Linked DNA regions of Drosophila melanogaster. The protein of the gene in region 1 interacts with the protein of each later gene in a pairwise test. Each region holds a gene or a part of one and is shown on either strand. Other genes may lie near its edges. The genes, in order: CG11248, gpp and CG5062.

Region 1 (4,442 bases):
GCCTTCCGCTGATCTCCGCCAGCTTCATTTTAAGCCCAGGAAGCTCTTCAGCCTTTCGATTGTTAACCCTCCCATTTCGCAGTTCCTTTCGAAGAATTTTGGCCAACTGAGGCCAGCTTTTTATATGTGGTAGCCTCCTTCCTGTTTCCATCTCAAGAACGTGACCAAGAGATCGCAAACACTCTACTGCTTTGCGTTCTTCTCGCGCAATTTCCTCCTTCTCATCTAGCAAAGACTTTACCTGGCCTTGCAGCCTTTGCATGTTAATCGACGCAGCGGAGTTTATCTTCAGATTCTCTTGGAATGTTTTCTTCAAAAGCTGTAACTCTAGTCGATTTTCCTCGTCCTGCGCTTGGCTCAATTTCTGGAGCTTTTGCAGTTCATCATTTTGTCCAGCGAACAATTCATTCAGGTGCTCCAATTCAACCGTCTTATGCTGTAGTTCTGATCGCATTTCCTGCTCCAAGCTTTGAGTAGCTTGCAGAGCATCTAACAGTTGTTGCCAGTCTGCTTCCATTTCGTTAGTGCTCTTGATTTTAGCTTCTTGCTGTTGAAGCAGTATTTGGAGCAGCGAAACTGTGTGCAATTTTTGGCTCCTGACATCCGCTAGTTGTTGTTCCAAAGTCTCAATGCGTTGAACTAAAATCGGATCTTCGAGGTCCGTTTGGGTCGCTTGGTTGTGTTTCAACTGCACTTGCCAGCCCTCTGTCTTTTTGATTTGGACATCGATACGGGACTCTGCTTCGGCCAACGCTTTTCTCAGCTCATCACACTGCGCTGCATAATCTTTGAGTTTCTCCATTAGCTCACTTTCCTTTAAGGAACCGTTTTGCTTCATTTTGGCAATCTCGATTTTCTCCAGTTCCAATTGCTGTTTAGTCTTTTGACACAAGGAGCACATTTCGGCATACTGTTTTTGAAGAATGTCCACCTTCTGCTGTAGATTTTTCAAGGTCTTTTGCGCCTCACCTAAATTTTCTTTTAAGCCTTCCTTATCTAGTTGTAACGAAGCCAAAGAAATTGTTAAATTTTCCACCTGCTCCAGTTTTAGAGCATTGCTTTGCCGAAGTTGAGTCTCCTCCAAAAGTTGTGCCTGCAATGCGAACTCCAGTTGCTCAAGCTGACGCTGCTGTTCCTCGCATTGCTCTTTCATGTGAGACATCAGCATCAGCTCGGCCTGAAGCTCGTTAAGAGAATTCTTAAGGCTGGCAATTTCACTCGTTTTTCTGTTGATCTCTTCGTGAAATTTCATGCTATAAGAGTGCATAATTTCCATGCTACTCTCCCGTTTCAGCTTTTGTTGGTAGTACTGTTTCAAATCCAGGAACTCCTGTTCCTTTAGCGCTAACAGATGCTCCTGCGTTTGCAGCGTCTCGTTAAGCTCAGCAATGACTTGGCGCAGCTGATCACGCTCCGCGGTGACACTGCGTAGGGTAGTGCTTCTTAGCTCTAGCTGGTGCTCCATTTGACTTTTAAGGTCAAGTAGTTGCTTGCATTTTCCAGTCACGTGCTTGCTCTCCAGCTCCATGCCGACAACAGTTTGCTGCAACTGCGAAAGTTTTTCATCGTGTTCCAGACTGATCCTCTGGATGTCGTCCAGAAGCATCTTCTTTTGCCTTCGGAGCACGTCGATCAACTGACGCTGATCCCGTAGGCGCGCCTCCTGCTGTTTGGCCTCAAAAGAGGAGTCGTGTGACTCCGAGTCTGCTTTAAACGGCGATGAGCCAGGGGAAAATGGTGAGCCCTGCTCCTGCTGCTTCTCCAGAGTGGCGCATTGTGTGTGCAGGCGGATCGATTCTTGCTGCAGCTTCTGGTTCTCCATCAAATACTTCCGTTCCTGTGCGTACAATCGTTCTAGCGTCTGTAGCCTGCTGTGCTTCTGGGACTTAAGCTCCTGCTTGTACCACTGCTCCGATTTTAAGAGCCTTTGCACCTCACTGCGCGTCCGAAGCAGCTCTTGCCGCACCAGAAAAATCGATTGGTCCGGTTCAGGCTGCGGCGCCGGTTTCTGAGCAGGATCTCCTACTCCATCATCGCTAGTGCAGCTAAAGTGCCCTGAGTCGTCAGCCAAAGCTGTAGCGCCCTCGCAGTCCAAATCCATAACCGAGCTGAAAAAATTTTATTTTAGGAGGGTGAGTTTGTGGCTTAAAACAACTTTTGTGGGCGTATGCAAACCAGCAGTACCACACGGAGGTGTCCACTGAGTCGTACTAGTTGATGTTTCTGAACAATTGTTGACGGTTGTTTTTTTTTACCGTGGGTAACTTTTCCTAATTAACGATAAAACTACATTTTAAGCGAAATAAACAAAACATGCAAAAACTTTTGAGTCGAACAGCTGATGGCAAAAACAATATGACCATATTAAAACAAATTGATGTATCGCAAAAAAATACCAAAATAACTTTTTTGTGTTGACTGGTTCCATGATTATGGCGAATGCAACTAAGGAGTTATTTAAATTTATATAAGAGTTCTAGCTAACTACAATATTGAGTTTACGTATAAGGTATTATGTGTGTTTTCAAAATTGGTTATAAAACAACAATTTGCATGGACCAAATAAATAGTGATAAGCCCAATTTTAGAACGTCACTTTTACCCGAACACCCTTACTTAATAAATTCTCATTGGGACTCGATAGCGCTGGTCACACTAATCCAAAAAACCATCACAAAAACATGAATTCTTATTAGCCAGTTAAGAACAAGTGAAAACAGAATTTATTTTATCGTGGCAGCTAGAGTTGCATTCCGAATCAAGTTATATGATGTTCGTTGGTGCCAGTAGTGCCTAGCGTGGACCGGAGCACGTGCACGATGTGAGAACGACCTGCAGACAAATCGAGCAATTGCGTCGTGTTACAAAGCTTTGGCCCTGTCCAAAACCCCAACAAAAATTTGCACATCATGGCCAGTGCAGCGGATGACTCGGCACTTGGGGGTCAGGAGGAGCGGGAGTCCTTCACCATCTATCATGAAGGCAGGGAGCTACAGCTTCACTGGCGCGGATTGCCGCCCCTGCAGCGGTTTCCCGCATCCCGGATTTGCAGCAATGCCGGCGGGGAACTGCTCCTTCTGACCACTGACCACGCCCTCTACTCCGCCAAGCTGCAGGCCAACCGCGAACACATGGATCTTCAACTCCTGCGTACCGATGTTGTGGATATGGACTTCTGCTCCGGCAGTCAGGAACTATTCGTAGTCCTCACCAATGGCTCTGTGCAGCGCCAAGCCACGGGATCTGGCCGGGATGTGGGTCATCCACATGCGTGGCAAACCCTCGGTTTCGACCCTCTCGAATTGCATGCTGAGGGCGTACGCATCCGACGGGTTTGCTGCTCCGCCCAGGGCGTTGTCTTCGTCGGCGCTAGTGGGGAGACCTATGTCATGGGCAGCTGCGGCGAAGTCTTCAAGGCAGAACAACAGCCTCGGCACATGCGCCTTTACGAAGAGGGCAAGGAACTGTTGGACTTAGCAGCCGGAAACGAGCACTTTGTGATGTTAGTAGCTCCCTACAACCTGGCCGACGATGCACTCCAGCTGTCGGTGGCCAGTGCGAAGGAAGAACCCGAGGATGAACGGGCCTCTGTAAAATCCATAAGCAGTGGCCACTCGGAGCGCAGCGTTGCGGCTAACACAAGGCACCTTCTTCACCAAGGATACGCTCTGCTCCACACCCAACTTTTCACATTCGGAGCCTCCAATAATGGTCTCCTGGGCAGTGGGGATCATATCCGGAGGGCCAATGTGATGCGCTTGCAGAAACTAGACAGCATGGGCGTGTGCAGCATTGCAGCTGGATTAGAGCACACGGTGGCCCGCACTCTGGACGGAAGGCTCTACCACTGGGGCCTGAACAACCACTCTCAGTTGGGTGAAGATGTCAGCTCGCCCATGGAGATCACAATTACGGAAAACACGGCAGCACTACCCATAGAACAAAACTCGGCGCTTGAGGCGACTTGCGGCGACTACCATACACTACTGCTCAATGCCTCGGGTCAAATACATTCCCTTCAACCTGCGCCTCCAATGCGACATCTGCAGCAGTCCAGCACATACGCGCAGACGCTTCTCCAGCTTCAGTTGGGAGCAGCGTGGCCCAGACAACTACGTTTGCTTATGTGTTCTGGCGGATACACACTTCAAAACCAAAGGCAGTTCCAGCGGCAGTATCACTACTATCTGAGTCATCTGCAGTCACAGTTACAACTGCTTCTCAAGCATCGACAGGCAGTCCAAACACTCGAAATCTGGCAAAGACAGTCGGCACTGGAGCCGCTCAGCGCCCTCGGTCCCTTGCTGATCAACTGGGAGAGAATACTGTGCCTGCTAGTGGCCACTTTGCATTCGCTAGAGGGATTCTACCGAGCGGACTTTGTGCAGCCTGCCGACCTGTTGTTTATCTGTCATTACAAAGAGTACATCGATCTGTTTGAC
Region 2 (4,442 bases), on another chromosome or scaffold:
GCCAAAAGAGATTAGTCGAGGGAGCGGGGGGAGGAGGCTGATCTGCACACGAAATTAAATAAATAATATAAACACTGTGCCAGAAATAGCTGACAAGCAAACGAGACCAGCGACCAAGAAAGCTACACTGAACAAAAGTGGAATTTACATTATCCACATTATATCACACAATAACTTTCAGTAAGTAATTTAAGATATTCCAGCTTTATTGATTTAAAACTTTATTAAATTCCACAAGCCCTATACTTTTCGTTCTGTGTAGAGATAGCCTCGCTATAAATGCCTATTCTTTTCATTTTCCGTCCGCTTACATTTATCATGCCCGCTGAATTTAATTCAATTGCTGACAAAAACGTGTTGTTGTGGATTCAACCGTGCCTGTCTCCGAACAACAACAACAAATGCAACCAACTATGATGACAACAAACAGGAAGATGAGCCCATAGAAAGCCAACTTGCCCAAGACGATCTCACACACAAGTGTGCAGCTAAGTGAATTGATCAACGGGCGCATTGGAGGAGGGGGAAGTGTGATTGTTGCCAAGCCACAAGACGCATTCCCTGCTATTATGTACTGAATTGAAGTCGCTATTAACGTTAATTGTGTCATGCATTTGTCGATGGGGCGGGGGGAGTCGGTGGCTTTAACAAATGGTAATCAAAGTGCAATGACAGGGAAAGTCAGCGATTTTGAGGCGCGAATTCAACTGGCGAGGTGATATGACAGCAGAGGCCAAACTGGTTCTGTTTAAGTAATTACCAAAGTAAAATATTTCTTAATAACTTTATTCTTTCTCAGATGTTTGTAGCTGAAATGAACAAAGGCTCCCTACAGACATACATATGTACGTACATATATATTGGATTCACTTTTATCTGCTGACCAGCTTTTATTTAAACCCATTTCGGTTCACAACAGATATTAATGCCTTGTGGGGCGAGCCAAAAATGAGGTTCTTGAGGCCCGAAAAAGTTTGGATCAATGTTTTTTCCGCATAAAAAATAAGCAGGCAGGCCAACACACACGCACACACACGTTCGTGGGTCGCAGGTACGTGCGGGCGTGTGGTTGTGAGTGTGTTGGCCTGGTTGAGAGTACACTTAAATAAACAATTCTGAACCAAAAACAATATTCGGCACGCACTCACCTTTGCAACAACAGTTATGAAGGTGCAGCAGCCACCCGCTCTCTCGCTGACCGCTTTGCACGCTCTCTGCCTCGCGCTCTCTTCTCGCTTTTTGGCTGCTGCAGCGCTTGATTTTTATGCACACATCAATTTTCAAACTGCGACGCCCTTTTTTCCGATTTTCTCTCTCACCTATAAAACAACAACTGCCGCACTCAGCACACACACGCACACACTCTGTTAACAACAATTTGGCTCTTCACTTTTTGTGTATTAGATTTTCCTCTTTGATTTTCCTTTCGCTCTGCGCACCTCGTGAAAAATACTGTTACTCGGCTGGACAATCAGCGATACTTGTTGTAAAGCAGCGGACGTCGCTTCTTACATTTAATTGGCTGCCCTTTCGACTTGTCTGCGCTGCCAGTTGCTGCACTTTACTTTTGTTTGACTTGACGCCTCCGTCTGCTCTTCGCCTTCGTCTTCGTTCCGCTTTATCCGACACACGACCAACCGCCGCTAAAAATCAACACAAAGTAAGTGTGGTCGACGCCTTCTTGACGAAGAAAACCAGAGTCCGAAAGTGTCAGCAGCTGGTCACACCGCCAAACGGTCCCGCTGGCTTGGAACCGTGCTGCCAGACCGTTTTCATATTTTCATATTGATATTATAATATTGATATTGATAATATAAATATTTTATTCATAGCAATCAAGCTATCATCCATAGTACACATCAGCTTTATCAGTTCTTTTTTATCTTGGTTTGATATTTTCGATGCATTTTGTTTACAACCTAAACAAATTTTTATTTCCATTGATACCACGGAAATAATTTGAAATTTAGAACTTAAAAATAAAAGGAAAAATAACTTGTAAGTTGGAATAAATAAAGCACGGTCTTTAAAGCAAGAAAGTGTTAAATATATATATTTCAATTTGAGTCTATGATTAACGCTAATTTATGCTTATGGGTCCACTTTCGATCACGAGTTGTTCACACTAATGGATACAATCGCGGAATGGGCACACTGAATATTGTTTAGCGGACAGTGGACCAAAGCCAATTCGAATCAATGGAATATCCTGATATCAGGCATATGTTAAAACTAAGTAACGGAATGGTCAATGCGTAAATTGCTTTCGTATGTGTGTTTATTTTACGCCCTTACGTCGCTAATTTCTGAATTAAATAGCTCAAAAATATTCATATGTATCATGTAAAAATTTAAAAAATCTGCAAATAGATTGCATGTATCCCGTTAAAGATAGTAAGAAGTCCAGAAAAGAGAAATGCATTCAGCGATCAATTTTGCATGGACTTACCAATGTCTTCCACAATTTTATGCTTTTATTTTTTAATCGCTTTGAATTATTTCTCAAGTAACGCAATTTTGAGAAAAATCACACCATTAAATCGTGGTGAACAATCGAATATTCGATTCCATTTTAGCGTTAGGCATTTTTCCGCCACCCGTTAGGGATTCTCCGTTTCCCTTTTGTGTTTTTGTTTCTTTCTTTCGCTGGAACATAACGGACGTGTCGTTGCGTCGTCTTCCTCGTCGCGCGCGTGTGTGTGTGGTGTATGTGTGTACTGAAACATTTTGGGGTCGTAGCAAATCGGAGAAAAATTCTTAATTATACAATACAATACTCGTGCTTGTTCTCGCAGCGAATCGAAGTGATCCAATTGTGAGATTTGGCTGCAAAGGAAGAATACGAAAAGTTAGCTAAATTACGTGAGTAGCCAGAGTGTGAGTGTGTGAGCCAGAGCGAGGCGGCAAATCAGTATGGCGTGAAAGAGCTGCAAAATGTAATTTGCTGTGAATACCTCTGTGTGTTCGTGCCTGTGTTTAGTGTGCATGTGTGCTAAAACAAATGCCTAAATTGCAACAAAGAAAATTGTATGAAATATACGAAGCGAAGAGCAGAGCGAAAGCGACGATGAAAAAGAGGCTGCTGCTTGAAAAATAAGAAGAGGTGGAGGAGCAAGAAGAAGAGCAGCAGCAGCCGTCGCGAGTTTTTTACACGCGTGTGTTAGTGTGCATACAATTGTGTATGAAAAAGAATAAAAGCTAATCTAAAGTGTCAAACGTAATCTTGTATATCTCCGTGTTTCTTGCAGCGCTTGACAACGAAATTTATATTACATAGTAAATGCGAAATACAACAAAGGTTAATCATATTGCTTAATCAGAGTACTGCGGTTTCAAACGTCTTCGTCTTCCCCATCTTCTAAACTGGAATGCAACCAACACCAAACAACCAAAACCCACAACAACAACAACAAGATCGAATGGAGTAAAACAGAAACCAAGAACCTTTAAAGAGAGCAGTGAGAGAGAGGCGTCGGCTAACGGCTAATCAATTGACAAAGCGCAAAGAGAGAGGGAGAAGAAGCAGAGCGCTGAGTGCGCGAAATGTGAGTAATATATTTTAAACCGAACGCGAAATAAGAACTTAAATCAGCGAAGAACTCTTCTGAAAATGTGTAATATTAACGGCGGTGTGTTCACTGGTCCTACTGTTTGCCTCTCCGATAAGAGCGGAAGTGTAATATTATACTCAGACGTTGTGAAAAGTCAAACGTATTTATTTATCGGTTTCCCATGTGCCGGATACTCCGCAATCTGGGCCAGTTAATTATAACGTGTGGGAAGACAGTGGGCGCTCGCCCTTAGACAAGTGTCATATAAGGGCTATAAATTTAAAGTGGATATTTTATAAGCAGTCGTTTGACAACTATGTTTATTTGCTTCAAGCTCACAAGTATTAAACGCAGTGTTTAGAACAGATTTTGCAGATTTTAAACAACGTAAAAATTTTTTTGACACGGTCACAACGTAACTTTGTGTCAAATTAATAAATATAAGATCTTAGTTTGTCAGAATGTTGTAAACATTGTTGTTTTTAAATGATTAAACTGGTTAAAAATGATTTCTCATTTTGTCTACTAATATGATTAGTAACAAGGTTTTCAACTAAAATGCTCATGTACTGACTGAATTATGATGAGAAATGGGTTGCTAATGAATAAACATTGCCATTTAAATAGTCATGCGAGTTCCAACAGGGCTCACTAATTTACCAGTGATTTCTGTGATTTTGGTTACGTCCATAAAAAGTTTTAAATGCTGTCAGTGGTAGCAAACACAATCCAATTAAAGGAACATGCAAGACCCGAAAATAGGAAAAGTGCCAAAAGCTAAGTTAGAGGGGTTTTTTCTTGTTGATTACAGGCAAAAGGATCGAAAACCAAAAACCAATTATTAACAACTAGTTGAACCGGCTAAACATTTGTATTTGTATGCATGTATGT
Region 3 (4,442 bases), on another chromosome or scaffold:
TGGTGGTGACTTGGGTGGTAAAGGAAAAGGCAAATGCTGAAGGGAAAGCAAAAGGGCATTACACACACGTTGACCAACGGATGTCCTGCTGCCTGATGGCATTACAGTTAATTAAAGGTGAACCGATGGCCACAGAGTCCTGCCATCCAGCACAGTGGGTTCAAGAGTCCAGTAAATTGGATTTAATTTCAATATATGTATATTGTGACACTATTTGTACAGCCATTTTTCGGATATTGATGTGTACCGTTGGTTGCAAATAACTTTTGGACTGCAATCTTGCCACCCTAAAAGGTAGTTGTGGATAGGGAGTGATTTTTAATGACTTTCACGATTAAATGCCCAAGGAATCATTTTCAGTGGACCGGAAATTATCCCATGGTGACTGTGCGCATGTGAGCGGAGGTCCACTGTGTGTGTGTTGTGCTGCTGCTGCTGCAGCTGCGTGTGTGTGTTAGTGTGTGTGAGGGCCATGGCAAACTGGAAACTTTGCAAATGAATGGCAAGGCATTGGAAATAATGAGCCGTATTTACATTTCAAAGCGCTCGCACAGAGCGAGAGCTGTAAAAGTTTTTAGCCTCCCCAACGGACTACGGGTCAAAATCAGTTACGGAACTCTGAAATGAAGAAGGATTGCGAGAAAAGAGGAATAAACCCACGGAGGCTGTTGTTGTAGTAGTTGTAGTAGTAGTTGTAGTAGCATTGCACACGCACACGCACACGCACACAGATGAAGCCGGGTAAATCTCCTCCAGAGTTGTGTGGGGAGTAAATTGCGAAAGCTTTCGGTGGCAGGATTGCATACAATTTGTTTTATGGCCATGGCGTGCACATTAAACGCGCACTTAATCACACGCAATGGGCGTGGTCGGTGGATCGTCCCACCGCCCACCATCGTCGTCGTCGTCTACGGCGACAAATCAAATTGATTTCGCTTTTCTGGCTGGCTTGCCCGCTGCCCTTGCCCAAAAATTTGTACGCCCCCTTTTTTTTTTTTGCCCCTTTTGTTGTGTTGTTTTGCGCCTTATTAAATCACTTTTATTGCCATTGAAATGTGAGAAAAGTTTTACGGAGACGATGCCCCCCCTTGTCGTATATATTATAGTACGTAATATGATTTTTAGCTGCTTGCCAAAAAAAAAAAATAATTCATATTTATGGCAAAAACTTCACGCTCAGCGCGATGTGAGAAACATCGGTGTTATTGATGTCTGGCGAACAGGAGTGTATTTCGGGCGGAACCCATGCAGTCAGAGGTGGTCGCTGTTGGTTGTCCATAGTGAAGGCAACCATTTGCCCCACGGCCACCACACCATCTCATCGGAATCTCGAGTATTTGGTATTGGGTGTCGAGTAGCGTAGTAGATGGAGATGTCTCTTTGTGCGCCCAACAACACAAGCGCCACACAAATAGACAAGACAAACACTATGGGCTGGATATTGAGTTTCGGTTTCGAATTCTCTTCCAGCATTCGTCATATGACGACTAAAATGGAATTTGGTCAGTATCGAGTGCACAAAAGACTCCGGCTAGTTAAGTTATACATATACCAAAATACCGTAAAATAAGCATAACTTGAGCAAAAATAATCATTTTCGAGCACTTTCGAGCAGCAAGTGACATGCGGTATTATAGCCCTGCTTAAAAGCCAGCTTGTTGAACTATATATATTCCTCCATTATCCTTTTTTTTCTCTCACCAGCCTAATCTACGGGCAACAGCGAGATTTTCACAAAAAAAATATATAAAAAAAATAAACCAGCGACCCCTATATTCAGGCACTGCGTTTCAGCGAGGCGTGTAATTAAATTTTCATGCCACCTACCTGGTGGCTGGATTTCGAAGGGAGAGTAGGCGGTGGGGCAAGCGGGCCATGGGCGTGGCACTTACATACAAAGAATGCAAATTGTCGGGGCTATTCCAAAATGCAAGCATCAACGCCTTCGAATGCAACCAAAGCAGGCGGAAGTAAATGCAGCAGCGGCGGCAGCCTTTCCCTTTTTCCCCCAACTAGCTTTCCATATATCCTCGCCCCCCCCCCCCCCCCTTCACTTATCCTCTAGTTTTTCCTTCTCACCTGCCACTCGACAAAAAACGACACTCAAGTGGTCAGGTGTGAACAAGTGTAGAAGCAGCGTACACGAGCATGTTTAATTTTGGGATACTCAAATGTATAACCGACCTATTAAAGGAACTCTATGATTCAAAAAGTACCTGTGAGCCTACATTCCCAGCAAATACCCTGTAATTGTAATGCTATACCCAGCAAGCTTTGAATTCATGTAGATTTAACCTGCCAGATTCGATTGGATAAACAAACGAAATATACGAAACAAGCAAACAAAACAAGAGCCTCCGAGCAAATAACACAAACAGACACGCCAACAAACCGAACAAAGGAACAAACTCAATAGCTAAGCGAGAAATCTGCTATTGCGTTTTACCCCACACCCCTCTGGCCATTTGCAATTTCAAACGCGATATACATATAGAATAGAATTCGTCAAGATGCCAATGGTGATGCCATGTCGTTCGCGAGCTGCGATGAAACTGCACCCGGATTGCTATGATCGACTTAAGAAGCCGATTTATCTGGAAACGCCACCATTATCGACCGTCGAAGAGGAGCCACTATGTGGCGTACGCCGTGATAGACCCGTAAAGCCAAAGGTTCAGAGGCGACCATTACCGCCCGGCACACGTCTACCGAATCCAGTAGCCGTGCCTGGACAGAAGATCACACGTTCGGCGGTGGGTGGCGGTAAGGCGCCACCGCGAGCCCGAAAATACGACGGTGCCAAGGCCACGTTCTTTCACATCAAGGGTCAATCATGGGAATCCAAGGGCTATGCGGAGCTCTCACAGTGCGAACTGGATCGCATGCGGGCATCGAGGCCGCGTACCACCGAGGAGCGTCGCGCGGAACAGGATCGCCGGATGGAGGAGCAGCAATATCATACAGCCGAAGCGGAACGTATGCGTAACTATTTCCACGACATTGATGAGCAGCGCAGGGAGAAGGAGCGCGAGGCCCAGAAGAGGGACGATGACGAGGCCGATGAGGATGTCAACGAGGATCGGCGTGCGGAGGCCAAACGATTGCAGGTAGTTTTTTGGTTTATGGTTCTTAGCCATATTTCCGAAAGTATATCTCCACCACCCATTGTAGGTACTACACCGCGCCTTGGATGCCAAATACGAGTCAGATGTGCGAGTTAAGGATGCCACGCGTGCGATATCCGAGGCCAAATGCAGTGCCATGTGGACGGCTCAGATACAGGAAAGGAAGCTACTCAATCGCATTCAACTCGATCATGACGAGGAGATGGCTCGCAAGAATCGCGACTACAACAATGCCAAATGGGGCACGGTGGAGCAGCAAGATCAGGCCGAAGAGGAGAGGCGCCGGCAATTTGGCAACGCAGTGCGTGAACAAATCACTGATCGCGAAAAGTTACGTTTCCTGGCCCAGGATCGTCTGCGATTGGAGGCGCGAGACTTGCGTGCCGCCGTCGATGAGTATAAAAAGGCTGAATTGGCAGAGGGCGAGATGAAATCGCGCCGTAAGCTGGCCTATCGGGATGAATTGAATAAGTATACGAAATTGCATCGCAATTTCGTACGGATGATGTGCGAACAGGATCAAAGAGATGAGAACAGGGCCTACGAGTATCTAAAGCTCAAGGAGCAGCAATTGAAACAACAGCGAGCGGAACGCGAAGCCATCGCGGCGGATGAGAAACGCAAACGGGATGTTCTCTTTGCAGTCGGCCAAAAGATTCTCGATGCTAAGGATAATCGCGAGGAGATGCATTTCCTGGCGGAACACGAACGCCTCGAACGAAAGTACAGAGAAAACGAACGTAAGGCAGCCGAAAAGGAACGCAAAATGGCCGCCGAACTCAAGCGTGCCAATATGGAGCAAATGGAGCATCTTAGCCAAATGAAGGCCTGCTTCTATGTGCAACGTGAACGCGAACTAAAGGAGATGATCGAGTATCGAAAGAAGCACGAGGAGCAAATGAAGCGCGAGGCCGAGGAGCAGGCCATCAAAAAGGCCTGTCTGCGCTCCAGTGTCTCGTGCCAAATCGAAGAACGGGAGAAGGCTCGTCGCCGCGAACTGGAGGAGGAACACTTGGCCTTCGAAAGGGAGCGGGCAGCTGAGGCGCAGCGGCAAAAGGAAATCGATACGGTGATCACAGTCAAACTGGATGATCTACAAAAGCGCGGATGTCTGCCCAATTTGGCGGTGCAATCGCTAAAGGGTCGTGTCGCCAATGCTGGCAACAAAAAGAAGCTGGGCGCTGAATTCACTTAGATAGTTATATTTTCTAAAAATCCATCCATAGACAGACAGCATCAAACACGCGCACACACTCACTCCCACACACACACACACACACACACACAGACACACACATGAACTCAAGTTGACAATGG

Evidence for each region.
Region 2: the proteins of CG11248 (region 1) and gpp interact in a two-hybrid assay, tested with the Drosophila melanogaster proteins (one large-scale study listed by BioGRID).
Region 3: the proteins of CG11248 (region 1) and CG5062 interact in a two-hybrid assay, tested with the Drosophila melanogaster proteins (one large-scale study listed by BioGRID).

The regions. Positions count from the first base shown.
Region 1 is NT_037436.4:21,677,966-21,682,407, reverse strand, and holds the start of CG11248 (uncharacterized protein), read right to left. Parts: upstream 2,359-4,442; 5' UTR 2,256-2,358; exon of another isoform or gene 2,176-2,255; intron 2,109-2,175; 5' UTR 2,102-2,108; coding exon 1-2,101. Other genes in the region: Als2 (amyotrophic lateral sclerosis 2), read left to right, coding at 2,910-4,442.
Region 2 is NT_033777.3:6,404,230-6,408,671, forward strand, and holds the start of gpp (grappa), read left to right. Parts: upstream 1-2,627; 5' UTR 2,628-2,862; exon of another isoform or gene 2,863-3,248; 5' UTR 3,249-3,545; intron 3,546-4,442. UniProt on the Drosophila melanogaster protein: Histone methyltransferase. Methylates 'Lys-79' of histone H3. Required for Polycomb Group (PcG) and trithorax Group (trxG) maintenance of expression. Also involved in telomeric silencing but do not in centric heterochromatin.
Region 3 is NC_004354.4:5,180,249-5,184,690, reverse strand, and holds the start of CG5062 (uncharacterized protein), read left to right. Parts: upstream 1-2,321; 5' UTR 2,322-2,510; coding exon 2,511-3,107; intron 3,108-3,171; coding exon 3,172-4,320; 3' UTR 4,321-4,442.